Oreochromis niloticus: one gene and its partners. The protein of the gene in region 4 purifies or fractionates together with the protein of the main gene of each other region. This does not show direct contact. Links are inferred from orthologs where the notes say so. Each region holds a gene or a part of one and is shown on either strand. Other genes may lie near its edges.

Region 1 (7,955 bases), about 13 Mb from region 4:
TAATAATTTTTTTTTTTTTTAAATGTGTTTAATTTTCAGGTAGTTCAGTGTGAGAAAAATCATTCGTGTGTCATTCGTTCTCTTCATTTTTTTAGTTGAGGATTAAAATCGAGGAAAAAAGAAAATGTGTTATTTTTGTCATTCATCTCTTTTGAGTGCTTTTTTTCCTCTTGATTTTATGCTAATTGAAAAATGAAAAAGCAGGCCAAGAAAACCATTTGATTCTCATATTTAATCAGTCTGATTTGTGTGAGCAGGAAGCTGCTGACTTGTTTTTAAAAAAGGGGTAATAAGTATCTAATTTTTTTTTAATGCTTTACAGTTTTTGGCTTGCTATTAGGAGCTTTCAAACTGCATTCTGCTTCATTACAGCACTTTTAGGAGTGAAGAACTCCCAGAAAAAGCTTTAACACATTTAAAACCAGTTTTTAGAGCAATTTCACAGCTTTGTTTGTGTCCAGACCACATAGCTTCAAAACCAATATGCGTATATGGGTCATATACACACAGAAATAGATTTCATAGAATGTTTGCGACTTTAATATAGGATAAAGGAGCAATTTCCCCCCCAAAAAATCTGCATTAAATATCCTATTAGAGCAGGTGTAGCTTAAAAGCCAAACACTTGCTAGAAGGTATACAGCGACATTTGCGGGTTAGCCAGATGACAGTCTCTCTTTTTCTCTGGCTAGATGACTGTGGTACTCCTGCTGAACATGCTGGAAGCACCGTGTTCTCACTTATTTGTGTTACTTGTATGCTTTAAGTGTGATAGAAAGCCTCTTTATTTATTTTATTTTATTTTATATGTGCTTTTGTTGTTAATTACTTTTGGCTATTTATTATTTCCCAAGGGATTTCCACAGTGGATAGAAGTGCATGCACAGAGTTCTACAGCAGAGGGGCGTACTATGAAACAAGTTCAACACAGCCAGTTTTCATTGTGTTAACTAGTGTGGGGAAAAAAAAATCTAAAACTGCTTTCAGCACGCTCACATAAAACGAGGTGTTTGACACATCATGTGACTCTTCTGCTTACAAAGATCCCTTTGAATAACATCTACTCCAGTGAGAGACATTATTAGACGATGATGATAAATTGGTAATTTAAAATCTATAAAGAACATAAAACAGTGAACTGCAGCACTGTTGCAGATAATTAATGCTGTAGAAGTCATTAATCTTGGGATTTAGTGCACAGAGCAGTAAAATAAACATTTTAATTTAAGGGAATTATTTTAATGATGAGTGAGCCTTCGGTGCTGCTGTTTACTTCTGTTTTCTTGTAGCTGCAATTCTAGTGTAAAATAGTTAGCAGTAGATCAGAATCAAATATAAAAACATTTAACTCCAGATTAATACATGCATTAATTCATTCCCATGACATGCACACATGAAATGTGTTCTATATCCATAATAACTACCTCCATTGTCACAAAGAGCCACTGCAGCTTGTAGCGCCGCACGTTGTGATTCGGCAGTTTTATTTCCTAACACAACGAGAGAGGGATTTGAGTCTTTTGTTCAACCTTTCACCTGTTGAACAAATGTGTTAACCGCTACACTGTGAAGCCACCCAAGCACAGGATCTATATTGCACTTAAAACATGCCGTAAATAATAGAATCTGTGAAAACTTCCGGCAGTTTTAAACCGAAACCCTGAACGCAACCCGCTCCCAAGCAGGTTGTGTGTTTAGCATAAGTTACCATGGTGATTTAGCCAGGTAAAAAGAGATCCACTTCCGCCACACAGAAACCTCAGGCTTTAAGCTCCAGATAGCTCGCTAAGCACTTGATTTATGCCTCGTATTACACCCCTCAGGAGTGCAGTAACTTGTACACTCCTTGAGGTTGACTTTGTGCCTCCTTCTGGTATCAAACCCATGATGTCTACACCATGGAGCCACTTCCTGTAGTTTAGGTTAAGTTAAATATTATCTCAGTGTTCATGTAATTTCTTTTCTGAAAGCTTCATTGTTATTTCAGTTAAGATCTTTTTTTTTTTTTAAATACTTTTAGTTCAGTTTCAGCCATCCATATTTACCAATTTGACACAGTTTCACATTTGTGAAGTTATTATTTTGTTATATTAAACATGTAAAACGGGTCTGGTCAAACCCACCTACAGACAGTTTTCTAGATATGAATAAAGTCTACTTTTAAACTAAAGGAAGTATTCAGTGTATACTTAAATCTGAAGTGCCACATTTAAAAAGTAGACTGCTAATTGGTGTATTTGAGGCTGTCTGAGCTCTTTCCATGGACTTTAGGCTACTAGATCCTTAATTGTAAATGGCAAACAAAAGAGAAGAGTCTTCTTCAGACATGTTCACACTACTGCAAATACTCTGATTCAGCTGCCTGGATAGACCTGGCAGGAAATGGCGCACAGGAGGGTCATTTTCTTGTGGTGTTTGAACAGAACCTGCAGCATAATGTTTTCTGGTTTTATTTTTAAAAAAATCCAGTAAATGACCCTTTTACTGTTACCTTTGATTTTTATTTATGACATTAAAATCATGTTAACTCTTCTCATAACTAGTAAATCATGGATTTCTGCATGTAAAACAAATCTGTGGTTCTTCCAACAGGTACCCATTTCCTTTGTGGACCGGGTTTATGGAGAGTCCAAACTGGGAGGGAATGAGATTGTATCGTACGCCAAGGGACTGCTCATGCTTTTTGCCACAACATGATCAGTGATTTACTCAGTTTGTAAAACCCACAGGCCTATAGTCTTCCTCTTACTGTGTTTAATACGGTTCTATCAGAATTGTAATGAGGAGGGGAAAAAAACTCCACTTGCCTGTGGTCAGACAGCAGCACGACAGCAAATACCAAGGGAGACATCTCTCCCTGTTAGGTGTAAATATAAAAGAAGTCCCTGTCAGTAGACCTTCAAGAATACAAAAGAAACATAGTGCTTTACATTCCCATCATCCTCTTTAATCAGTTTCTGGCAAAGCGTCTCGTCATTCCCGGCCCAGACAGCTGACTGAACTCTGCATTAACAAGCTGTCACATGACTTAAAGTGCACACTGAAGTGCTCCACCTATGATTGATTGTATAGGATTAAACTGTTTTTTATCACTGGCCTTGAGATTTTTTTTCCCTTGGGGATGCAGGCAGCTTCTCTTACTGATTTTCTTTAAGGAGTTTAAAGCCTGAATTAAACATGATTAGTTATTGATATTTTGGACTCAGAACGTTGACCTCCAAGGTCTTTCAGTAAATTGGCTTTTTCCTGATGATTGTTGTAGTAGTGACTCCATACAGCCCTTATGGAAGTTTAACTCTGTCATTCTCAACAAATAAATATTTTTCTTCCCGTTTCTTCATTGCATATTTGAAAGAAAAAAAAAAAAAGTCAATAGATAAAGTTCCATTTATAGATTCTTTACTGGTTTTCAGATTCCTGTAAAATGCATTTGATCACAACACCATTAACCTTTTGGAATCCACTGTTATCACGGGAGTCTGCTGACAAGTCTGCGTGTATTAGCAGAATGCTACCATAAGGACAAAATCAGCTTCAGTGTAAGAAAAAGTCAAGGACATAAGTGTTGTTTCATTATGGAGTATGTCGCCAGTGCCCTCTGCAGGGCCCCCGCTGAATTGCGACCAATTCCTGAACAACGGAGTTAACGGGAGGTGGAGTAATTGCATCCAAACTTTAAGTTCTGGACTCTGGACCACCCTACAGTAACTGACCGTGTTCTGTTCAGAGGGTTAGGCTGATGTATAACTTGTGAGGAGTTAATCAAAGATGGTGTTTGGCCACTGAGTAACTTTTCCCCTTATGTTATTTAAATTTCAAGTAAAGGAATAATTCTGTGTTTTATTATTTTGGATTGATTTCTTTGTTTTACAAGCATAACACTCATCATCCATATTTCCGTATACAATTGTTCCTGTTAAAGAGGGGAAAAAACCTTTACCAAGTCTCTTCTAAAGTGTAGGCTTTTTTTATTAGTTAAAAACTTTGCTTGGGTTTCACACGCATAAAATCGATAACTGTGTACACTGATCACAACTCTGTGAGTGGTTCAATACTGACGATCGCACATGGGGCTTTATCTTGAATCCGATATATTAAGAGAAGTAATTCTGGACCTCACTGACGTCTGAACCCCAGCTCTAATACGACTTATTTAAACTGAAAACAGAAGCCAGATGTTGTGGCTCACCAGAGGCTTACCCAGAAATATGGTAAGTAATAAGGTAATATGGTAAGGTTCATTACTGGCCTTCAAACAGGAGTTTGGGGCATTCAATATATCATAGTTCTCCCCACTACGCTGTTACATACTACTCCTGAGGCTTTAATGGTCAAGCCTCTACAGCTCTGATATGCTACATGGTATAAATGTGCTTTAACTGGAAAACCACCTTAAAATATTGCCTCTGCCCCTTGAAAACTAGCCCATAATGAACAACCCATTTCACAGCCTCAGCCAGTCAGGAGACTGAACATCAACACTTGACATTAAATATCACATGCAAGGCTGGCAAACAGCTGCTGTATTGCATAGCCCTTCACAGCAAACCTGAATACAATAGAGTGGCAGGAGTGTGAGTGACAGCGATGATGGGGTGAAAAGGAAGGATGGGCAAAAATCCACCCGACCTGATGGAGAACTTTTCTCTCACTTTAACCATGTGAATGCAGTGACACTCTGGACTGAGTGCTGATAACAGAACTATTCTTTGGGGCAGCCCTTCTCCTGGCACTGTACAGGAAAGTAGTCCCGGCCACTTCGGTAGGCTCGGGCAGCTATAGTACAGCGCCACCTAACGTTGCCTCAATCGTTCATGGCACTCCAGCTGAGTGCTGAGGCACTGTGTTCATCCGTCCCTCCACAAGGGAGGGGATGGGGTGGGGGTGGGGGACGCCAGATGTAGCCAGAACGCGCGTGCGCACTACTCCGGTGGAAACCTACTCCGGTAGGACGCCCGCTATCGGTGAGTTTCCGCAAATACTGTGTTGGGTTGTTTACCCCACAGAGTCAGACACCGACACCAAAATCCTGCCGCAGGGTCTGATAGACGACACGGGTTTTCCTTTGAACAGACATTTGCTTAATTGGTTAAATTGATTGACAGACCAATCAAGAGTTTCTAATGAGCCGGCCTCGCGAGGTTCTCACAATTTATGCTAATCAAGTCGATGTCACTTCCGCCCCTTTTATTTGCGCCATTTTGGATAGGGCAGTTTCTAGGCTGGATGTGTATTGTCTGTCAGAGAAGAGAATGGGCAAAGCGTTATCGGCTAACAGGCACTCGTAGGTAGAGTTAAATGCGATTTATTTGAACGAGGAGCTGCGCCGGTAGTTGTTCCTCAAAAACAAGACATGTGCCCACCCTCACCACTCCAGGGAATGGAGCTTTTAATTGTCTAATGAAGCTGCAAGGCTTTTCGCTCCCGTTGGCCGACCGGAGGGAAGAGGATAGCCCTTCTCGGCGAGGGACAGTCGGGTTTGGAGGATAGACTCGCGTTCGGGCGACTAGTTCTTCTGCCGAAGCAAGCTGTCACCTTAAAGGATATTGGCGGAGATATCCGAGCAAGTCAAAGTGTCTCAGCCATCCTGAGGTGACACATTTCACTGAGACGGGAGCGCTGGATGTGAACGCAGGTAAACTTGTCTCTCTTAATGTTCGGCGTTACCCTGAGGCAGAGAGAGTTTGCTGTTAGCCGTAGCTACCTGTGCTGATGCGGTGGGTGGCGATGAACTACAGCTAAGGTAACTTGGCTGTCGATGTTCTGTTACTCCCTGTAAGGGGCGCAAGCTCAAGTTGAATTACTTGTCCAGTAGGTAGGTTTGTTTATAGCAGCCAACAAAAACTAAATGCAGACAGGTGTTGTTTGTGTTTAAATAAGGGCACAAAAGGCGGAACTATTATTATTATTATTTCAGCCAGTGTTGTTAGTGCGAGTTTGGCTAGCCTAGCATGCTAACTTAGCGCGGTGTGTCCCCATTCTTTGTCAGTGACAGCATCTCCCTGCCAAATCTATCGATTTGGATTTTGCCAGATGTTTATGACTGACACCAGCGTGGACCCAGGGCACGATTTATTTGTCTCCGTCGCTCATGCCGCCGGGCTTGCTGGTCTTTCATGCGAAGAAGGCTCCTGGTGTCGAAAGTGTAGCTGTATTACTGGACACAGTGTTGTCTTCGACCCGGTATAGGTTGTGCATTTTACATGTCTACAGCCGTACCTGAGATCATGCAGGTTTGTATTTGAAGCCTCAGAGCTCTGATCTTCTGCATTTGAAGATCAGAGGTCAGCCAGGTGAGAAGAGGGTTGTGATGCACTAGTAACGCTGAGAGGATGGCTGTCACTTGACTGGGACAAGAGTCAGGTTATGATCAGGAAATATCAGCCTCATATACATCTGTAATAGCAAGTGCTGCAGGCAAGCATCAAGTTCAGTGATACAACTGTGCATTGAAAGCTTGAAAGCATCTCAAACTTTTTCTGGTGTCAGAGTGGACATGGATGTCACCAGAAGCTTCTGCCTTCATCCCTACATTGAATGTAGAAGTGTAAACAGCAGCTGGGAGACAGGTTTTTGTGTCCTGGTGATGGACTGAGTGAGGAATTCTGTGGTTGAAGGTTTGAAGGCTTAAAGGCCTCATGTTTTCTTTTTTTACACCACCATGATTGGGGAGGGGGGGGGCTTTTTCTTCTCCCTGATCTGAGAAGAGCAGAGAGCTGCCTCCTACTGCCTTTCCTTCCTTTCCTCTTCCTTCTCTCCCTCCCTTCCCTCCTACTCAGCCTCTCCTGTTTCTTTTTTCCTCTTGCTCCTTTTCTTACCCCCCTTCACTCCTATCCATTGCCCACTCTCTCACCCTCTTCCATTTTCTCTCTCCCCCTTCAGCCTCTTCCCCGCCTTTCCTCACCCTCCCCTCTGAGCCTGTCTGTCCAACCTCCCTGCCTCCCCATCCCTTCCCCCCCTCCATTTCCGTCGCTCACTCTGTCCTCTCTGCTTTCCTCTCATCTCTCTCCTCACACTCCTTCTACCCTCACTCACTCCCCCACCCTCCCTCTCACTCTCCCTCCTCCTTCTCCCTGCTCCCTCACCCACCACCACCTCATCCTCTCACACTCGCCCTCCCCTTCCCTGATTTCTCTCTCTCGCTCCTTCTGTCCCTCCCCTTCCTCCCTTCCTACCCCCCCCCCCCCCCCCCACTCCCCTTCTCCCACTGCAGACATATTGTAGAGGCTGCTGCTGACTCAATAGGAGGCGCCATTCTGTGATGGTATTGCGAGGCAGGGAGGAGAAAAAAGGGGGCAGGCAGAATATAGGGAGGCTTACATAATGTCCTCTCTAGCGCCATCTACAAGTAATGGGCGGAAGAAGGATAGAGACACAGAGGGGAAGTGGGCAGGGGTGTGTGACGCTTGCACTCCCTTTTGCTCAGTTCCCGCTGTAAGACCAATGTGAGGCAAGTAGAACAGTGGGGCGGCTGGGCGGACTGACAGAAAGGTCTCCTCACTGGACCAACAGATGGTAGAATCCACAGCCCCACTCAACTTGCGTTTTCTAGAAGGGGAAATAAGCTGAGGTGTTCACAGGAATTGTTTGGGAATGTACTGTTTATTGTTGCTGAGCTGCCTTCATGCCATTGTACATCGGTGACCTTTGACCTCAGTAGTTTGGAGCTTTGATTTGAATAGATGCACCAGACTGTTTGGTAAATACATTAACAACACTTGTGTCCTCTGTCTGACTCACTTTATTGATAAGTGATATTGATGATAACGGCTGGGAGGATCTGTGTGTTTCTGTCTTTGCGTTAGCAATGACACTTCTAATTCGTTAAGCTCTGGCTTGCCTGGTGGAAGCTGTATCCTGGCATCCATGTGCATTCTTGTGCAAATGAATGAGATAAAGCAGAAACCCTGTTATGAAAAATACCACAACTCGATGTCATAAGCTCTGCAGGGTAA
Region 2 (6,921 bases), on a different chromosome or scaffold from region 4:
AGCTGCAAAAACATCATTAGGAAAAGAGATCATTAAAAATTCTCTGTAAATTGGCTGTGCAACATACAACACTTCACAAACAATAATCCATCCACAGATTAATTTTAGTAGGATAAAGGTTATAAAAAAGGGTAAATGTATTAAAAATCTTAATACTTAAATAACTGCTATTAGGTGGATCCTGTGGGTGAATCATCCCTTTAAGGATGTCACGTGCCTCGATAATTTAAAACCTTGCTGTACGCAAACATGAAAACACTGCATTGCTTGGTGGTGCATCATGATTTAGAGACTGTCACCAGTGTCTGAGAAGGAAAAACCAAAAACCAAAAACAGGACTACTTTTGACTGCTCCGTTAGTCACAAGGGGCCACCACAGTGAGCAGTTCTCCTTATCTGATTTGGCAAAGAGTGTTATACAGGATGCCTTTCCTGATGCAACCCTCCCAGGGATTCGTGCCTCCTCCGGATCTCAAACTAAGGATCTTTGACTTGTTGTGTTAACCAGTATCCCATGGGTCTTAAAAGAGGCATTCTCTAAAGGCTAAAGCGGGCCTGAAAAAGTCTCTGTAAGAGACAAAAGGTCAATAATCACCCTGACAAATGCACAGTGAAACACTTGTTTAAATGTACAGTTGTGGCCAGAAGTGTACATACACTCTGGTCATTCAAAATCCAAGAAACTCTGTGAAGATCTAAGAAGGAGAATTGTAGATGTAGATTGTAGGATTCTGACTAAGAAAGATGCTCCAAAACTGACACCTTTAAGTTTGACTGAAATGCCCACGTGAACGAGGGCCTTCTGGAGAAGAATTTTATGGTCAGACGAGACAAAGATTGAGCTTTTTGGTCACAATGAAAAGAGGTTTGTTTGGAGGAGTAGTGGTGAGGCTTTTAAACCCAAGAACACTGTACTAACTTTAAGCACGGTGGTGGCAGCATCATGCTCTGGGGCTGTTTTGTAAGTGGCACTGGTAGATTGCACAAAGTGTACTAAAAGATTCTTATTCTGTTTACTCTTTTCCTCACTCTCCCTCACATGACCACAATTACCTCGGTTCCACTCTTGACTTTCTCAACACTGATTGGTTCTTGATTTTCTTTGTGCCTTAACTAAACTCACCTGGCATACATTATATAAGGACTGCACTCCCTTTCACTCACTCTTTTCACTCCCACATAGGGCGGCAGCTGAGATGAGTTTGATTTGTTCTTCTGAGTTTAAACATTTATGTTCAAGTTAATGATGTAAGGTCCAACCTTGTTTTCTCTTTTAGAGTTTAGCAGTCCATGTGTTTCTTACTTTAAGTTAAGTTAACATTAATTAAAGTGAAATAAACCAAGACATAAGGGACATCAATGATTTGGCTGTTTTCTTTGCATTCTGATCAGATGAAACTCATGGTGATAAACTTTACCTTACCTTTGAACCTCCTACCTAACAGATGGAATCTTATAGGACAATTACCACCAAATTATTCAACTTCACCTCAAATCAGCAGTAAAACAGTTTGGTATCATTCTTCTGTTGGAACACCTAACACACATCTATAACTGGTTTTAGAAAGCTAGCATTAAACTTTTGGAATGGCCATCCCAAAGCCCAGACCTCAATGCTTATCGAAGTGTATGGACTATGTTTAAAAGCAAGGTCTATACCAGGAAGCCTACCAATTTAAATGAACTCTGCCAAGAAGAATGATGAAATATCCAGCCAGAGTGATACTGGAAGCTTGTTAATGGCTACAAAAAACATCTTGTTCAGGTGCAACTTGCTGTTTATTAATAAGGGTGTATATAGTGTATGTATATATTTGAACCTCCACGTTTAATTTTGACCACGTTTGGATTAGAGAAAATCCAGAATAAATTCATACTTGTGTACTAAATTCTTATTTTTTTTTAAGTCATTAAAGATATACGCTGTACAATCATTTCACCCTGGAAAAAGAAAAGTCAGAAGGAATCACAAAACAAATTTCCCACGCGCGGGACTAATAAAGATCATCTTATCTTATCTTATCTTAAAAGCCCAAACTGTACTCTGTCTACCTGCACTGGGACTGTTCAGAAAGTTAACAAAATATTTTTTTTCTCCATATTATCTCTGGTTCAGTGTCCTTATTCTTAAGGTAAATGTTTTTATGACCAATTAATGAAGAAAGAACAACTGATGGGTACAAATACCTGCGTCTTCTATATCCGTGAGACTCATTTCTTCCTGCTGCATTTATAGACTAAATCACTGTTTTTTTTTCTTTATTTCACATTTTATTTAATTAAAAACAAAACAAAATAAAAATCGTCGACCTCTTACGGAGTTAGACCAGATGTTCTGACCGCTGTCTCCACTCACCCTGACTGTGGTGTCCACTCCAGCTGTGGCCAGTCGATGAATGCGTCCATCTGAGCTGTGCTGAAAGTCCAGACTGTACACTGGCTCCTTGTTGTGCCATGCTATCTCACGCGTTACCACCTTCATTTCTTTTCAATTTTTATATTCGGCACCGACCTCAAGGGATAAAAACACGGTAAATTCACCACCTAGATCGTTTTCAATCAACTCATATGGACGCATTAGTTAGCAAAACGTACAACAATGGACCCTGAAATACGGATTACAGATAACAGTTTGATAAAGCCGCTCTTTTGGCTACACTAACATATAGAGCACAGCTGGCTAACAGGTTAGCAGTTAAACTGGCAGGTTAGTTGGACTGGTTTACGGCTAAACACTGTGGACATCATTCCCATTCACGAACATTTGTAGTTAAGCTACTGTTAGCTAAGAAGCATGCCCGTTATAAACGCAGACGAATTACAAATGTTTATTACTCTGAACGAAGATAACTAGAAGTACATGACAGTATTTACCTTCTCTGTTGTCCAGCTCAGTCAGAATTGGTAAGTTCCCGCGTACCAGACTCTCAAAACTTCCGGTCTGCCGTGATTGGACAAAAACACGGATAGGGCGGGGACAATTGATAGTCTTGACTTTTTGGTTTTTTTCCTAACGTAATCCGGAAAGATCTTTGGCCATCCCCATTGAAATACAAAATATAATTCACAAAGGGGGGGTATAATCAATTACTGACAGGATGGCATTGTGTGTCTTTTCTACCCAGGTATGCTTTTACTGATTTGACAGTGAATGTGGAACCATTGCCATTATGAAAAACGAAGCCGTTGCAAAGCAAATGGTTTCTACATATTGCATGTTGTATGAAAATCTAATGGTAGTCGTCTCTGTTCATAATTCCATCAGTATTGATCTTGTCAATCTCCAGTACCACTTACCGAAATGCAGCCCCAAACCATTACAGTCTCCACAGTGTTTTACAGGTAATTGTAAACACTCGGTGTTTTTAGGCCTCACTTTTTGTTTTTATCTTCACTTGGCCAGTTTCTTAAAGTGGTTTAGGGACACAATGCACAGCATGCTGAAATATGACAAGTTTGTTCATAAAAATACTATTTTATGGCTGCCAAACTGTTATCATTGGGATGTTTCAAAGATTTAACTGAACAAATGTTTTTGTGACAGGGTGCTGGTAATAAACTGACTGAAGATAAAATCTACAATTGTTTCCTTGCTAAGTTTTCCATTATGTGTAGACACAACACTGGTTGAATTTGGTTTAAAAAAAAAAAAGGTCAATTTTTTATTAGCCTTGAATGATTCAAAGGTCTGTAAGTGGCTTAATAAAAATTCCTTTGAAAATAGTCAGGTACAAGTACTAGAAAAACAGACAATGTTCAAAGAAAAAGGGCAGTCATGATATCAGATTTTCACATCATAATTATCATAGTAAAAATCATGATGACAATGGAAAAAACGGTAGCAATTAGACCATTATTTAGAATTATTTATTAAAAAATAGGTAGAACATAATTTTATAACTGTGGTTGTTATTGACAGAATATTTAATTTTTAAATATCAGTTATCAGCAGTCCACTGCAACTGTGAAACATTTAAGTCAAGTTAACTTAAAGAAAATAAAACAGCTAACAGTTTTGCAATGAGGATTTTAGTTAAATCACGAGTCTTAAAGTTGAAAATCGAGTACATTTTAGAAAAAAGCATTCTTTTCAAGCCTGTGATGTGCAGGTTAAAGTACAACATGTAAAACCGTGTGGTTGATGCTTTTCATTTTTTTCTGTAAAATGTCATGGAAAATGGAAATGCGACTCCCACACTGGTTATTTTATCACCTGAGAGTCGCTTCAAAAAATATTTTGAAATACAAAGCAGATGTTTTTAAAACAAAATGATCCCGTTTAATTCATCAGTATATTCAGACCTGGAAGTTCATGCTGCTGCCACTGGTCAGACTGAGCTCTTTACCAAAGTGAAACTTGAATTATTGCCCAAAAGTGAAATGTAAAACCAGGGTACCTACGGTTAATGCCTTGATTGCCACCTACGCTGCCAAAACATTTGAGTTTGAAACAATCAACCAAGTCTGAAGACCTTGCTCCTTGTGTCCCACATCACACACCTCATTACTATAATGAAACGCTTGCTGCGATGACAAATGTCCGCTCTATTTAATATCAACGTGCCCAAGTTTGTGATGACGGACTTCTGTGGCAGACTTGTGTTGTGATTTTGAGAAGACTACCAAAGTCTCATAGAGCTTGTGACATAAGGACTTGATGCCTTTGCAGGTTGTTTTGGCAAACTCATTTTTATTTTGCTCCTACACACACAAATATACACCTGTGTGGCTGTGCGCTTTCCTCTCCTCTCCAAACCTTCCACCGCTCTTCCAGGACCGGACAGCTACTGAAGTCATGGTTACCGTAATGGACCTCAGCTGTGCCGGCCACCCCTCTCCTGCAGCTAAGCCACAAACCACACCTCACCGCAGAGCAGTAATCAACAAATATAAATAGGCAATATAAAAATATATTTGGTAAGACATGATAATACAAAATGTGCAACATATTATTTAAAACAAAAACAAGAGAAAAATCAAACACAAAAGTATTAATAGCTGGCAACACTACTGACAAACTGGTACTTCCTTGATTTTACTGAGAAACTTGGTAGCAATTAATATCTACAGCTGCTTTTGCTTTCTGTTTCTTAAAAAAAACAAAAAGCTAGTTTGAGTAACCTAAAAATAAAAATTTGTAAGCATCTGTAACACACCTTAAATTAAGTTAATATCCCACTCACGGGTCTCCTTACAAAACATTTACAGGTGGAGCGATGTGATGACTTTTGTTTAGTCATTTGTTGCCCCAAACATTAACACAGGGGTGTCAGAATTATTATTAGAGAGAAACTGGTCTAGGATCTCATCAATTACACTGCACTCGAAATTCACTTGTGCCAGGTCCAGCGCAGGCACGTGGAGGAGAAGAAGGCGCCCGACGTTCTGCCGAAGCTCTACCAAACTAAGGGGAAACAGAAAGGAGAGAAACAGTGAGGCTGCTTTCACAAATTGCTTTATCAAAGAGGGGTACATCAAAACCACGAGGAGTGATCTCCCAGCAGTCCAACCTTCTGGATGCATCCGAGTTTGAATGTGTGCCAGAAACAGCTGCCCCTCCTTCCTCCTCTGGATGTGTCTGAATTGAAGATTCACTGGTTGTTGGAAGACTTTGTGCTTTTTCCCTTTGGTGCTCTAAGCTTAACTGGAGCTCTTCGCACTGGGCTGCCAGGTTTGCCTTGTCCTCCTCCACAAGGTCCAGCTGGTGGTGCAGAATTAGAGGGAGAGGAAGAGGGAAGGTACGAAGGTCAATATCAATAAAACGAAAGGAGAAATATATTAAAAAAGTGCATAACAGTGGGCTATTTGGGATATTTTTCCTTATACAGTTGGATTGAGAAGTAGATATAAGGTATACCTCATAGCATGTGCTTTTATCAGAACACCAATTAAGGCACATGACAACATCGGCCAGCTGCTGCCAGATGTAACATAGATAAATAAATAAATAAATAAAAAAGCATTAACAAGAAGCACTCAGAAAGTGCAAACCTCCCCCAGGGCAGCTCACTGTCTGAGGAGTATTTACTTTTAAGGGAAAAGTATGTTACCTAAACAGTATGTTGTCAATACAAACAATGGCAGTAAGAAACATGGTTGTAACAGCTCTGTATACCATCATTTATCATGTTGACCTTCAGATCAATCTATTTGACCTCTACAGAGGTCAAATTTGACATGACCATTTCCAACTTTTTGTGTTTACAGACGGAGTGACATGCACGTTCCTACGTCAGCGCTACCAGAAACATAAGCTAGGCAGAGGTCAAAAGCTTGTTTAGTTCAGGGCGTTTAAGGCTCAAATTAGTTCAACTGAATGTGAGAAAAGCTGTTTGTCATCACTTTTACTATTATTTTTTTTAAACAAAGACAGCTCTACACAGTGTCACTGACCCGTGAGCGCAGCTCTTCTGTCTCCTTCGTTCTTTGATCCAGTTTCCGGACTAGAGCGTCAACTTGCAGCGCAATCTCATCATCATTTTCCACACTTTTATCGCCACTCAGATTGGCCTTGGTATCAGATTCTGCTATTAAAGCCTCCTTGTCTTTAATCAATTCACTGACTTTCTGTTTGGCCTTTTCGAACAGACTTTTGTAGTCCTTCTGCCCTCCTGTTTCTTCTGTCTGGCTGGCTTGGTGACAACACTCCTTCTTTACGCTGACCGGCGCCATCTCCTTCAGTTTTTTCTCCAGGTCTTTCACTTGTGAGGTAAGTTTCTGGACCTGTTCTTTTAAAGAGTCTCTCTCCTGAGCGGTCTCCTGCATGAGCTCAAGAAGCTGGTCTTGTTGTTGCTGTACCTCAGAGATATTGGGGTAGGTAAGTGGACTATATCTGTTGTCACCGATAGTTGAACAGGAAGGTCTAGGACTTCCTTCCCTTTCTAGATCATGGTTCACTCCATTCTGCAAGGTCTGCTGTCC
Region 3 (7,639 bases), on a different chromosome or scaffold from region 4:
CAAATATTTAGTGGTTCAGGCTTCTCTTCTCATCTTAGCTGGAAAGAGAGCGGGGCAGGGGTTGAGAGAAAAAGCCTCGACTGCATCACTGAGCCCAGGATCTGATGAAGGCGTCTTAGAAGCAGCAGGGCCGGGGACGTCATCAGAGACAGCCGTGCAGAAATGTGGCTCCTGATGTTAAAGACTACGCTGGACACTAGGACCATGGACAAGTCAACGGAAATAAATAATCTGTGATTTATTTCATTTCATTTTTTTTGGAGTACTCATTCATTTTATACACTAAACAATTTATGTGAGAAGATCTACATTGTTATTTTTTTTTTTTTACACAAAAGCAAACATCAAACAAACAAGAAACATTATTCCAGCACTGTCCATGTTGTACCCAGTGGTCAAATTTCTTTTACTGGAGACATTTTGACTTGCCACACCATGAAGTACTGGCGTAGCTAATAAAAAATATCACTATAATAACATTAACCAAAATCTGTTAAAAAAAAAAAGGAATGGATATTTTATCAAGTGTGAGTGGTAGGTCAACATGTTCTCTGTAAGTAAAATCTAAGTTTTATCTGCTGCAGTGTTTGAAGGCCGGCTCACCAACCTCTTTCCAGGGGCTGAGCTGGCCTGATGTTTCTGCTGTTACATCAATAAATTATAAAAATGCTCTTGTGGTCATATTTTCTTTTATAAGGAATAAGAGTGTACCAGTAAACATGCATTCACAATAATTGTGAAAAATGAAAATATCTATGTTAAAAATGAAATCTTCAATTATTTTATTTTTAGTAATAAATGAGTGAGTGACTGTTCTTTCACTGAGTTAGAGAGTTCAGGATGAATCTGACGAATGGCATTGTTTTTTTTTAATTTTTAATTTTTTACAGCTTTCAGAAACAATTTTGCTCTGTGATTTTTACATTTTTGAAAATATATTTATTTTTTATTTCAATTATTGCTCAAGGCTGTGGCTGAAGCAAAAACTCAGGTGTGGGAGGAGCTTGGAGAGGTTTTCGGACTGTCTCCAAGAGTTTCTGGCAAAACTGTCAGGCAACTCAGGAGGGGAAGCAGTGCTCTACCTGCACTGTGTATAGTGCAGGTAGAGCACTGCTGACTTCGACTGAGGATATTTTCAGGTTGTGGAAGAGATATTTAGAGGATCACCTTAATCCCAGGGCCGCATCTTCCGTGGAGGAAGTAGAGTCTGAGGATGAGGGGGATGACTTATCCATCAAGTCCATTGCTATGGGCCATTCGATCCTTATACAACTGCTGCAAGAGTTTGGACCACATAGCCGGTAATAAGTGGGACTCTGCCAGGGCTACCCTTTGTCACCGATTCTGTTCATAATTTTTATAGACAGAATTTCTAGGCATAGCCAAGTGGCGGAAGACTTCCACTTGGGTAGTCTTAGAATCTCATCTCTTCTTTTCGCAGATGATGTGGTTCTGTTGGATTCATCAGGTGATGGCCTCCAGCTTGCACTGGAGCGGTTCGCAAGTGTGAAGCGGCAGGAATGAGAATCAGCCCCTCCAAGTCGGAGGCCGTAATCCTTAGCTGGAAAAAGGTGGAGTGCCCACTACAGTTTTGGGGCGAGTAACTGTTCCAAGTGGAGGAGGTTAAGTATTTTGTGGTCTTGTTCGCGAGTGAGGGAAGCGGGAGATTCACAGACCGTTTGCTGCTATGGCTGCAGTGTTGTGGACGCTATACTGGTCCATTGTGGTGAAGAGAGAGTTCACCATAAAAGCGATGCACTTAATTTTCCGGTGGATCTACATCCCTACCCTCACCTAGCACTAGATTGCAGATACAAGCAGCGTAAATGAGCTTTCTCCAAATGTTGGTTGGGCTCTCCCTTAGAGATAGGGTGAGGAGTTGGGCCATTCAGGAGGGGCTCAGAGTAGAGCCTCTACTCCTTCACATCGAAAGGAGCCACTTGAATTGGTTCTGACAGGGATGCCACCTGGGCGCCTCATGCCTGAGGTGTTCTGGGTATGTCCTACTGGGAGGAGGCCCTGGGGCAGACCCAGGACACACCGGAGAAATTATATCTCTCGGCTGGCCTGGGAATGGCTTGGTGTTCCCCCCGGATAAGTGAAAGAAAGTGAATGGATGAATGGAATAATGATGAAGTGAAAATCTGAGTTTAACCCCTAATTTTTTTTTTTTCGTGCTGGAGCTTTTGACTTTTCCAGCTGGAAAAGCACAGGATAGAAATGGCAGCATTATTAGCTCCATTCAGGGAACACTAGTGTCCCATGACAGCCATGTTGATGAGAAAGCATGAGTGACTTATTGTTGAGTGAGTTGTTAATAACTACATCATGGATTTTTCTGCTCTTGCACCTCTGCTGTTTGTGCAGATTTATACAGAGAGATTTTGTAAAAAATCTTTTTGTGGAAAAAAATTTGATAGATAGGTAGATAATTAAGTTCAAGCACCACATGTGCTGAAACTGTTGTAAAACTTACAGCTGTATTATTGCTGGTCTAACATTGGTATGTTTATTGCCCCTTATAGATGCAGTGTAACAAAAAAAGACTGTAAAAGTGGATGGTATTATATGTTTTTACGTATATGAATTTTGGGTCCTGTGGGTGCTGGAGTAGCAGACCAATTAAACTATAAGTTAGTTATTGTTCTGCTGGGATACTTTGCATCTTGAAATTCGTCTCCATGTTTCCATATTTCCAATTGGAAGAAGAGCCCAAGGCAACAGCCATCAGTTTTCCCAGACCCAAATCCAATAAAATCAATTGCAAGATTTGCTGAAATGAGACTAATCTACCGGCAACATCACATGAGTTGAGAGTATGAGTACGAGATGAGTATTTTGCTGGGGATCTACACAACTGTTGGCAGTTTTGGTTGTTTTAATTTCTTTATTGACACCTACCAGCCACCTTGATAGGTATTCTGTGCTAGTACCAAGTTGGACCTCCTTTTTCCTTCAGAGCACAGATTCAACATTTTTTGGTCCATTTGATGTGATAGCATAACATAGTTGTTGCACATTTGCTGGCTGAATATTCATGATGGGAATTTTTCTATTCCACCACATCCCAAAGGTCCTCTGTTAGATTACGATCTCATGACTCTGAGGCCATTTGAGTACAGTGAACTCACTGTCAAGCCAGTAAACCAGTTTCAGATGATTTGAACTTTGTGACTCTGGTGTTTTATCAGAAGATTCATTGTACACACCGGAGTCATGGTCAGAACACGGTCAGCAACAATACTCAACAATAAACAATATTCAGTTAGCACCAAGGAGGGAATTGTAAAACCAGGCAATGTTTTCCAGTCACCCTTTGTCAAACTTTGTGGATCTCATGGAAATTGTTTCCTCTGTTGCCTTTTTTTTTAGCTGACAGGAATTGCACCCAATGTGGTCTTTTGCTGATGTAGAAGACCACACCTACTGTACACCCAAGTCTTTGCATTGGCAAAGAATGTTTTTTTTCTTATTTCTCATGTTTACCAGTGCGTTACTGCAACAGTTTTCAGTTGTTTTTTGTTCGTTAGTTGTCTTCACCATGGGAAATGCACCTCAACTGAGTTGAAATTGACTGTCTGCCTCTAAAACACCATAATGTTGTACTTCAATACTTTCAAAAAATTTCTAGTTTTTCTTTGTTCCAGATGCTGTTGACTTAGCCACTGCTAATGTCCTAATATTCCTAAAGTTAAATAAATGTGATGGATCTGTTTTGGCTTTCATCTTATTGACTGACTGTTTAACTTGCACTTAATGTGCACACATTGTGGATTCACATAAACAACTAACAGATGTAAATACTACACTTGGAATCAACTCTAGACCTTTTAGAAGACAGTAAAACTTTATTGTCATTGCACAGATGTACCTGCTTATTTTATGAAAAAATAATGAAATGATCATACATCTGTCATAACGCTTGAGTGAATTGTAGAATAACATATGACAATAGGAGCTACTCATAAAAAGATAAATGTAAATGCAATTCTTCAACTGTTTTAATTTTTTTTTTTTTAATTTCAAAACTAGATTTATCCTTTAAATACTAGACAATAGCTGCCAAGTTTCCCTTTAATTGATGAGCATGATGTAGCGTTTATTGTGTTATTGTAACTGTGGTATGCTACATCTCATAACTAATGGTGAGTTGTAGGGGATGGGTAAAAAAGAGAGAAAGACTTCATAATAATAGTAACTGAAATTTGTATAGTGTCTTTTAAGGAACCTAAGTTTTGACCACATTTCTACTAAAATAGAGGACGGGAAATCAAGTCTAGTATTTAACAGGAAAGAGAAAACAGCGAACAAAGTAAAAAGTAAATCGTAAATGCCTTGTAATCTTAATACAGTTTGTGATAAAAAAAAATCTTAAAATGTTATTATTATTATTATTATTGTTATTGTTATTGTTATTGTTATTATTAGCTTAATATATCCCCTTTAAAACATATGTATTTGTTTGACTAGTAAATTATTTTTATAATTATTGGTCATTAAATCATGACACAATTTGTTTACATTTAAATGCGAATTCATTATTAATCCTAAAACAAAGCTAGTACTTGCAGCTTTTGCTGTACATCTAGTTATGAATTAATTACAGGCAGTCTCAGCCCGGCGCTGCTCTTCACGCTCTTGTTTTACTCTGGATGCACTTCCGGGTTTCACCGGATGTTCCTAAGGAATATTGCAGCGCCCGTTGAGTACACTATCGGACTGTGGAAAATGTGTGCTTTCTGTGACTGTAAGGTGCAGATGTACACGTCCGTGGGAAAGTAGGTTTCCAGTTTCCTGATACTGTGCGTTGCACTTGCGAGCGGCTGTGGCCTGGGGTAAGCTTTAGCTTTCCTGCGTGTTTCTAGCATCATGGGTAAGCCATAGCATAACGTTGCTAGCTGTAGCCGAGAGCTAATCAGATGTCAACTTTCTGTTGTGTTCAGGCAGAGAAAATAAACATAAATAAACACGAGGTCTGCACGGTGACCTCCGAGGTTACAATGTGCTGTGTTACAACCATAATAAAGGTTGGTTGTTTGGATTGGGAGCAGCATGTGCGCTATCTGTGCATCACAAACATCAGCTTCAGTGACAAAAGAAAGCTGGAGTGTTGCTTTCTGAACTGGCAGTGTCGGTCGCTTATGGTTAGCTGCAAGTCGGTACTGTTACAGTCACAACACTGAGTTTTATATATATTTCTGAGTTTGCATTTCATCATTTAGCCTTATGAGAGTCCACACAGAAACTGATTTATAATTCATTTAACTTGATAAGATCTGTCGATGGTGGCTGATGCAAAATAGGAAATGCATGTGAGTTTAAACATGTAGGAAGTACATTTTCTTTTGATCATGTTTGGCAGCAATTGGTCTGCCAAGTGCTTTTTTTTCTTTTACAGCAACATTTAATGTAGTTTCCTTTTGGAGAGTGTTTATTTACTGAATAATACTTTTTCCAGGGTTTGAAGTCACTTAACATACTGTCATCATGGTACACTGGCCAGGATAACAACGTGGGCAATGTATCTGCAATATTCTGCAGTCTGACACACTCTGAGAGGCATTTACGTCAGATGCATAATGATATATGCCTATTGACCACTTTTTTAGGTACACCCGTTCACTAAAAACAAATACATCTAATCACATGGCATCAACTTGAGGCATTTCCTCATGTAGATCTGGTCAAGAGGACCTGTTCAAACTTAGCATTAGAATGAGGAACAAAGGTGCAGCAGAAGACCACAGCGGAGTGGCAGTTAAGAACAGGAAACTGAGGCTACATTGTGCACAGGCTCACCAGAATCGGCTAATCTTCTATTGTCCGATTCTGGTTTGGTTTCTGCTGCAACATTTTGTTAGTAGTATTATAATTTAAGGTAAACAACATGAAAGAATGTGGTGGAAGTGTAATAGTGTGGGGGATATTTTCTTACACACTTAAGGCCCTTTAGTACCAACTGAGCACCGTTTAAACATCACAACCTACCTGAGAATTGCTCGCCACGTCCATCCCTTTATGACCAGAGTGTAGGGCTGCCACGATTAGTCGACTAGTCACGATTACGTCGACTATTAAAATCGTCGACGACTAATTTAATAGTCGACGCGTCGTTTGAAGCTTTGTAAGATCCCAAAAGACGCAGGAATAAGTAGTAGTATTTAAGAGTGTAATAACGGACTGAAACAGAAGATGGCAGCACTGCATGTACAAGGATGTCAGCTGCCGTTAAACCCCGAAGAAGAAGAATGTGTCCCAGAATTCATAGCTCGGCCCAGCGCAGTTGTCAACAATAGCGGCAGCTAGTTAGTTTTAATATTACTCTTATTATTCTTTCTGGGTCACAAAATAAACGTTTAACATATTTTCAGGTGAGAATGTAGCTGTGTAAACCTCAAATATCTGCTCAGTCTATCAAGACACCACATATTTTCAAAAGCGCTCCGACGTTTTCGGAGACGTCTGTTACCCACCAGCTCCATAGCGAGCCGGGGTTCAAGGCTCATTAGAGCCGGTGAGAACACCGGACTCCCGGCAAATCGTTTTCAAACTCACCGCTGTCTTTCGCCACTCAGGTTAAACATGTAATATAAGTCACTTAGATAACTTAAAAATGTTATTGTTTGGCTTTTTTTTCTAGTATTTTATTTGTTCCTGAGTAAATTGGTTTGGCTGAGAAATAAAGTTGTAGTTTTTGCACAGATGAATAAACGTCAAGCAGATAACTGATTATCAGAAGTGTGAGATGCTCGAGAATATACTCCGGTGTCCTGTTATATTTTAGATAGCAAGGAGCAGACGGCTGAGTTTATTAAACTTCACTGAAACAATCTGCAAATTTCATTAAAAGTGTAATAAACTATCATCTTGTCTTTATTTTTAGTTAGCACATACCTTAAACACTTCAAGCTGTAAGCTAATGATAGTTATATAAGAGCAGACACATGCTGGTGCAATAAGCTGTACATTTTACGTCCAGTGGATGGATGATCTGATTAGTCGACTAATCGCAAAAATAATTGGTGACTAGTCGACTATCAAAATAATCGTTTGTGGCAGCCCTACCAGAGTGTAAACATCATCTCAGGTTTGGTTCTAGCAGGGTAGCGCACCATGTCACACAGGTCAAATCATCTCCAGCTGGTTTCTTGAACTTGACAATGAGTTTACCAGATCTCAGTTGATAGACCACCTGTGGGATGTGGATGCGAAGTTATTAAATTTGCAGCAACTGTGTGATGCTTTTATGTCAATGTGGACCAAAATCTCTGAGGAATATTTCCAGCAACTTGTTGAATCTATGCCATGGAGAATTAATACAGTTCTGAAGTGGGGGTCCAACCTGATAGTAACAAAGTGTATCTAATAAAGTGGCCGGTGAATGTATGTATAACACAATTAAAAAAAAAAAAAAAGAAAGCTTATTGTGGTAATATTCTGGTGTTATTATTCACTTTTAATAATGTTTGAGTGTTTAGCTGAATGTGTGGTTTGCCATGTTCCCCCTCATTTTTCTTTTCTTTTTTTAACCACAAGCTGATTAACTGCTGTTTATTTAACCATGTGTGCTCAACCACAACAAGTCATGAAGTACTGATGTTTTTGCCTGAGCAAATCAAAACACACAGTGTTATGTCAC
Region 4 (7,059 bases):
AAACAATAAAAAAACCATTTCATCCTTGTGGTGTCAGCTGGGTTCTTAAAAAGAAGAGGTACACCGTTTATAGCAAATTAAAAGTTGTGAACCCACAATGGAACACACTCGGTGTTAACACAGCCTGTACCAACTCTGATTTTCAACACTAACATAATCGTATCCTGTAAGCACTAAAAGAATGTGTTAAAATATTTATTTTTTTTTATTTTAAAAGAAGGTAAAGAATACAAAGACAGAATAGTATAAACTCTCCCCAGTAGCATATCACCCATGTCATCTACAGCTTCTCCTCCTGAATGATGGATCCTTTTTAGTAGTCTGGGCCCGTGTGCTCCAATGAGGCTTGGATGGAGATAACACAGTGTCCAAAATTTGTGTGTGTCATTGCTGGACATGGTAAAAATTGAAGGTTGGGAGTTTAGGATGTGAAAAATGTCTGACTCAAGGTTGTCCCTGCAGTGAAGAGGTCCCGTTTTCTCCTGAGGCGATACACTCACGCACTGACAGCATCCTTCTCCTTCTTGTCACTGTCTTCATGCCAGGTGAGACGTTCCTCATAGAAGGCTATGACAATCTGTGGGCACTTATGATTGGCCTCCTTGGCGAGAACGAGATCAGCCTCATCAGAGTCTTTCCTGAAAAGAGAAAGTTTAAAATCACCGCTTGGGTTTGTGTCTTTGCACAACCAAGATATAATATCTCCATTTTCATAACACTTGCAGCATGCAAATTTGGTCCAACTTGTTAAAATGTAGCAAAAGATTTCACACATTACAGTAATTACATGGAGTGCATTTAAATTTAATCTGCTGCAAGTTATTATTAAAATTATAACTTAAAACAATTTAAAAAAAAAAAAAATGGACTGTGCAGGTTTCTGTGATAAATTAAACATTACTACAACTATTATCTGATATTAACCCTTAAATGGGGCTCAACCAAGCATGAGCAACAATGTACTACATTTAATCCCTCAAGATAATATGCAATTACATAAAGCTTTATGGTGTGGTTAAACATAGGCCAGCTAAGCTATAAATGCTGCTAAAGGCAATTTACAAATAGAAATATCAGAGTGTAAGAGCTGTCCTTTAAAAAGAATTATGTCAGTACAGCTGCATATAGTAGAAGAACTGCCTGAATCTGGGGCAAAAGGTCATCTGTATGGTTGTGCATGTAAGAAGATTTCTACCATTAGATGCATTTATTGATCGATTTCACACAAAAACTAAAGGCAAAATTAAATCAAGACTTTCAGAACCTACCACTTCATAAGAAACATGAGGTCTCCACATGAGTCTGTTGCTCCAATGATCTTCTCCGGCTCAAGTCCTCTCTCAAAACCGCGTGCGACAAGAATGTCATCCTGAAAGACCCCAAACAAAATTACTTTAGAAATCTGGATTTTGTATTAAACTCTTGAATTTACACCAGCTGTCTTTAAATGTAAACAGTTTCAGTTTCCACACACTTTAGATATAAATGCGTTGTGCTACCTAAATGTCAAGTAAAAGAAAAGGAAGCTAAATGCGGCACATTTCAAGATATAGACATCCTGCTTCTGCAGCAAAAAATAGTTCTTACCTCTTTTTTCTTCTTGGGCTTACTTCCACCTTCCTCGTCATCGTCAGAGCTCCTCTTCTTTGAGCTGCTGGAATCTTTGGCGCGTCCAGAGGACGCCGTGTTTGATTTGCTGGCCCCACTGCTTGGTGTGGAGGTCCCACCACTGCTTTTCTTGTAGGTCTTCATGAATTCTGCAATAAGCTCAGGGCAATCCAAGTTTTTCTCTGGTTCCCATGTGTTGTGCTTGCTGAGAAAGAGCACAGAGTAGAAAACTCAGTGCAGCCTTAATGCACCAGTTCGGATTGGAAACTGCAAGATATGCTAAAAAATTTGAGATCTTGCAATGTTTAAAACATTGTAATCTAATGGTACTTCCGTGGTCATTACTGTCCTTTAGATGGCAGAGCATCTGTGTCTAAGAGAGCTGTTCTGTTGTGCACTGGGTGCATCTTGTACCCGAGTGTTAGGTTTTAGAAATCTCCAATAACCTACTCCAAAATGTGACCAACTGTTTACAACATTTAATTTTAATAAAGATGCAAAAGAGTTTTGACTATGGAGCTTAGGACCGTGGTGAGTACATTTATTTAATTACTTACTCCGAGTATCCCTTCCACTTTAGGAAGAATTCAACCCTTCCTTTCACCACCCTCCTGTCCAGCACTTTTTCCACAACATATTCTTCCTCATCAGAGGATGAAGACTCTTCTCCGCGAGACTTTTTGCCCATGGTAAAGTTTGGTGCTTAACACAACGCGGTTGCAGGTGACACTTCCCTGTTTAGAAAGAACGGAGAAGCTCACGTTAAAGATATTTGAGTTTTGATCGCTCTCCCACTAGTTCTAGTTAATAAAAACGCATCATTTTAAAAATAATAATAATAATAATAATGGCTACACAGCCACATCACAATCGCAAAGCATCCACAAGTTACAGATCGGTAACACTTTAACATTAGCTAATTAGCCGCCGCTAGCAAGATGGCTATCATATTTCAGCGAGAGGCATAATATCGTCATCGCTTGTTTAATTGCAACATGGAACGTTAAAAAGGCCAACTAAACAGTGCAGCTAAACATCCTGATCGCCATCTACTCGTTAAAACGGTGAAAAGTCGGTCACTGTTACTACTAAAACGTGCAAGTAGCAAGGACGACGGCTACTAGCTGAACGGTGCTAGCAGCAAAGCAAAGGAAAACTTGCTACAGCAGGTAGCCTGCAAGCAACCGCTAAATCGAGCTAAACAACTATGCTATCAAACCATGCGCCCATATCTACAGCACCATGAAACTCGACATTGCAAGAATAGTGTCTTACTCTTCTGGAGGTTCCAACCGTCGATCTGTACCCGTCAAACCCTGTCTTTGTGGACGAGCAGCGAGGCCAACCTTTCAGCTACTTTAACAGCTAGCCTCACACACACACAAAAGGTGCTGTGCGCAAAAAAAAAAAGCGCGCGTTAAAAGCGCACAATAACTGACCCCGCCCCTCGGTCAGCTGATGATCAACAGATAAAGTGGTTGAATGTGCTTCTACCATGTTTTTAAGTTTATTCTGTAACAATTTGGAATATTTTTTGTATTAATACGTGCACACTCTGTATAGAAAATATTTTTTCTTTGATAAGGTGTGTATGTTAATGTGGGAGGTAGGGCTATTGCTGTACAAGGCAGCTGTGCTTCCGCCCACAAATCGAAAACAGAATCATTTACGGTTCGTATGATGTTTAATCTGAAGAAAATGCCCGTCTTCCTTGTGTTTTCCAGGAAAATAACTTACCGAGCTGTGCAGACTGTATGCTTACTGACTTAAAGGCGTTATACACGATAGACACGATACCTTCTTGAAGTTTTCCCTTTCACATACAACAACCATAATCCATTTTTTCATTGTCGTCATTGTACACCAGGTGATTGGACGCTGGTAATGATTGATTCTACATAGCCCAATCAAGATCGAATCACTGCGGACGACAAACTGCAGCGGGAATAGCTGTCCAATTGCTGTGCGACAGGGGCGTTACCGTTGCTATTTATTGTACTGTTGACTAGCAGGCTACACTCGTCTGACGCAGATCTCGGCTCTTCGCTTGTTACACAACACGTCTTCAAGACTAAAGCTGCAACATGTCGAGAGAGAGTGTGAGTACTGGGCTCGGGAGTACTTATCTGTTATTGTATACGTTGTTTTATGTTAGGGAAGGTAGGATATGAAGTTGCTGCATGCTTTTTATTCTTAGTACAGTCTCCGGTTTGGGTCGTAGCTGCAGTAGCTTTCCTGCATTGTAACGCCGCCATTTTATAGCAGCCAGGCCTCGTGGCCTTTTGTTCTTGCAGATGAGCTGCAGTGGAAATTTAGGACTTTAAATCAACATTTACGATGGAAAATTGCGCTTAAATGCTACAGGCATTTAAATCACGACCGACTCTGATCTATAACTACTTCTAAAACTTGACCTATTCGCTGGTCTTCCAGCGGTTTTGCTAACGTTAATGGCGGCGGTGTGTCCCTCCTCCACACGCCCTGAATTTTAATAAGGGGCGCAGGGAAGGATGTATGTACACGGTGAACAGCGTTAATTACTACCCGATTTAAAGTGATTGTGGTATTACATTAAAGCCGACATTGGAGCAGCTAATCAGATGTTATCGCATTGCTTTCTGTTGTATAGGTCCCACGTGAGCCGGAGCAGCTCCGCAAGCTGTTCATCGGAGGCTTGAGCTTCGAGACGACAGACGAAAGCCTGCGTGCTCATTTTGAGCAATGGGGGACCCTTACAGACTGCGTGGTAAGTCGTTTCATTAAGGATGTAGTCTTGTTTGAGCAGTCACGATTTTGCAAGAATGTAGAGCATGTTGGTACCCTGTGTATGAGCTGATCCAAAAGCACTCTTCTTTCAGGTCATGAGGGACCCCAACAGCAAGCGATCCAGGGGTTTTGGCTTTGTAACATATTCATCAGTGCAGGAAGTTGATGCTGCCATGTCAGCCCGTCCCCATAAGGTCGATGGAAGAGTGGTAGAGCCGAAACGAGCGGTTTCCAGGGAGGTGTGTAACAACTGGATGAGGTGCAATTGTTCTTGCATTCAAAAGGCGCATAGTGATTACAATAACAAATATCTTTGATTCCAGGACTCAAACCGGCCAGGAGCCCACATAACTGTGAAAAAGATCTTTGTTGGAGGCATCAAAGAAGATACAGAGGAGTCACACCTGAGGGATTATTTCCAGCAGTTTGGCAAAATAGAAGTCATTGATATCATGACTGACCGCAACACTGGGAAGAAGAGGGGCTTTGCCTTTGTTACGTTTGATGACCACGATTCAGTTGATAGGATTGTCAGTAAGTACAGAAGTTGACTTTTCCCTAGCTGCATGTTTTGTCAGAATTTTGATTGTTGGCTAGCTTGTTTACAAAAAATCGCTTTCCACAGTCCAGAAATACCACACTATCAACTCTCACAACTGTGAGGTGAGGAAGGCCCTCACAAAGCAGGAAATGCAGAGTGCGGGAATGGGTATGGGAATGAGAGGAGGTCGCAACACTGGTGGCAGGCCCTACGATTACGACAGGGGCTTCAATCAAGGTATGGCTTATTTTGTTGATGGTGGAGTGATTGATTGTTATACTATGTGATAGCAAACCTTGTGTTTATCCTATTTAGGTGGCAGAGGGCGATATGGAGATGGTCCTTACAATTGCAACGGAAGTGATGGTGGTGAGCATGGTTTTGTTGTGTCTTCCTATTTTCTTTGCTTTTTTTTTTTTAAACTCTACAGTATATTTTAAGGCTGTCTTATATATTTAGGCTATGGAGGCGGACCTGGTGGTCCTGGTGGCTATAATGGAGGTAACCGTGGTTACAACCAGGGCTACAACCAGGGTGGTGGATATGGAGGAAATGGTTATGACAGCAATGGTTATGGTAAGATAATGCCATTTCACTGCCTTTTACTAGAACTAGAACTTGCTCGAGGTTGACCAATGTTATAAACTCTGTAATCGCAGGCAATTGTGGTGGTGGTGGAGGCGGCGGTGGCGGCAATAACTACAACAACATGGGCCACTACGACCCCCAGGCCTCTAACTTTGGCCCCATGAAGGGCAACTTTGGTGGCGGCGGCGGCGGCAGGAACTTTGGTATGAGTTCCCAGACTTCACAAGTAAATGCGTTTATTGTACGCTGGCCTCGTGTAGGTTTATACTTTGTTTTTTGCTTCCAGGTGGATACGGAGGCTCAAACAACAGTGGCTATGGACGTCCAGGACGATTTTAAAATGAGAAAGTGGTAAGAGCTTGAGAGCATGCCTTAAGAGTCTTTTAATGTAAAACAACAGCTTGTGGTGAGCAGGGAATCATTGAGTGCAGATAACCTTTAAACAAATTCACTCTGGATGTCAGGTCACAAAGTCAGTGCACAGTTAACAATGTTGTTCCGTATTGTTCAACAGGACTGAGTACTTAGGAGAGGAGAGCAAGGAGAGGAGAGCAAGCGAAGTGACAGGGCAACTGCAGGTTTACCTCCTAAATCTGCTCAGCCTATGAGTTGTGGCAGGTTACAGCTGCTGCAAGAAGAGATGTACAGTAGATAAATCATGGAGGGCCTTCATTTAAACATTTTGTGTTATGTTTTTCTCTTTTTTTTCGTCAATTGTGTTAATGGAAAGCAAGCATTCCAATGAGGTTTTGTGTAGATCTTTAAGTCTGGTTTTTATTTGTAACTGCATCAAATCAAGCTGAAATAAACACCTTTCAGTTTTTTTAACAGTCTCGTTAGCCTTTTCAGTGGTTTTGGGAAAGGGAGGGTTTACTATTAGGTGAAAATGGGTCGAGCCATATACATCACAAGGTGGCCGGGGAAAGTCAATATCCGTGTCTCCTACATGCTGCCTCAGGTCAGCGCATATGCAATACTGGTTAAGGGGCGGGCAAAGAAATGGTGCGCAAATGCCATCATCAGAAAGCCCATCACTTTGGTACAAGCTCTGCCCTGATTTCTGCAAAGATCACCTGGAGAATGCTAGCTTACATGCAAAGTCTATGAGGCTAGCCATGGAAGCAAGCTGAGGGAGAGAAGTAGCAAAACCATCGCCAGGATCATTGAAGCAGGGGAGAGTGAGAACAGAGGCCTGAGTCTAGCAGGCAGCAGCTACCAAAAGGCTTAAGTGCTGTTTGTAGGTAAGACCAGACTTCTCAACTACTGATGGTATATCTTGCATTTTGTCATGTAGCTGGTAGTGAGATATGTAGCCCAGTAATAATTAAGTTTTATGACCATTCTACTTTTTGACTTAATTTGGCCTCCAATTGTGCATTGAGGCCCAACATACTGCATGCTATGAAATGAGCAAATATTTTATATTTTTGGGTTATTGTTTTATTTATAGTATTTCTCCTTTGTAGGTAACTACATGGACCCCAAAACCTGGCTTCATTTCTGTGACAATGGTTTTTGACAGGTAAAAATCATTACTTGTTTGTATTTTTAGTTTT

The links.
Region 1: the proteins of cbx5 (region 4) and adnpb purify together in Homo sapiens (affinity purification with mass spectrometry; 4 studies listed by BioGRID and IntAct, with this or other methods). This does not show direct contact. The link is inferred for Oreochromis niloticus from reciprocal best matches to the Homo sapiens genes CBX5 and ADNP.
Region 2: the proteins of cbx5 (region 4) and chaf1b purify together in Homo sapiens (affinity purification with mass spectrometry; 8 studies listed by BioGRID and IntAct, with this or other methods). This does not show direct contact. The link is inferred for Oreochromis niloticus from reciprocal best matches to the Homo sapiens genes CBX5 and CHAF1B.
Region 3: the proteins of cbx5 (region 4) and sentrin-specific protease 7 purify together in Homo sapiens (affinity purification with mass spectrometry; 3 studies listed by BioGRID and IntAct, with this or other methods). This does not show direct contact. The link is inferred for Oreochromis niloticus from reciprocal best matches to the Homo sapiens genes CBX5 and SENP7.

The regions. Positions count from the first base shown.
Region 1 is NC_031984.2:31,725,117-31,733,071, forward strand, and holds the start of adnpb (activity-dependent neuroprotector homeobox b), read left to right. Parts: upstream 1-4,943; 5' UTR 4,944-4,964; intron 4,965-5,128; exon of another isoform or gene 5,129-5,635; intron 5,636-7,955. Other genes in the region: dpm1 (dolichol-phosphate mannosyltransferase subunit 1), read left to right, coding at 2,593-2,697.
Region 2 is NC_031987.2:18,700,925-18,707,845, reverse strand, and holds the start of chaf1b (chromatin assembly factor 1 subunit B), read right to left. Parts: upstream 3,005-6,921; 5' UTR 2,875-3,004; intron 2,513-2,874; 5' UTR 2,483-2,512; coding exon 2,357-2,482; intron 3-2,356; coding exon 1-2. Other genes in the region: morc3a (MORC family CW-type zinc finger protein 3a), read right to left, coding at 5,233-5,404, 5,511-5,701, 6,394-6,921. UniProt on the Homo sapiens protein: Acts as a component of the histone chaperone complex chromatin assembly factor 1 (CAF-1), which assembles histone octamers onto DNA during replication and repair.
Region 3 is NC_031987.2:22,406,300-22,413,938, reverse strand, and holds the start of sentrin-specific protease 7, read left to right. Parts: upstream 1-4,639; 5' UTR 4,640-4,674; coding exon 4,675-4,778; exon of another isoform or gene 4,779-4,835; intron 4,836-4,854; exon of another isoform or gene 4,855-4,873; intron 4,874-7,639. UniProt on the Homo sapiens protein: Protease that acts as a positive regulator of the cGAS-STING pathway by catalyzing desumoylation of CGAS. Desumoylation of CGAS promotes DNA-binding activity of CGAS, subsequent oligomerization and activation.
Region 4 is NC_031984.2:19,129,779-19,136,837, reverse strand, and holds the start of cbx5 (chromobox protein homolog 5), read right to left. Parts: upstream 3,006-7,059; 5' UTR 2,884-3,005; intron 2,343-2,883; 5' UTR 2,297-2,342; coding exon 2,166-2,296; intron 1,814-2,165; coding exon 1,588-1,813; intron 1,370-1,587; coding exon 1,269-1,369; intron 639-1,268; coding exon 497-638; 3' UTR 1-496. Other genes in the region: hnrnpa1b (heterogeneous nuclear ribonucleoprotein A1), read left to right, coding at 3,693-3,707, 4,238-4,354, 4,467-4,613, 4,698-4,908, 5,000-5,152, 5,231-5,284, 5,375-5,491, 5,575-5,706 and 1 more. UniProt on the Homo sapiens protein: Component of heterochromatin that recognizes and binds histone H3 tails methylated at 'Lys-9' (H3K9me), leading to epigenetic repression. In contrast, it is excluded from chromatin when 'Tyr-41' of histone H3 is phosphorylated (H3Y41ph).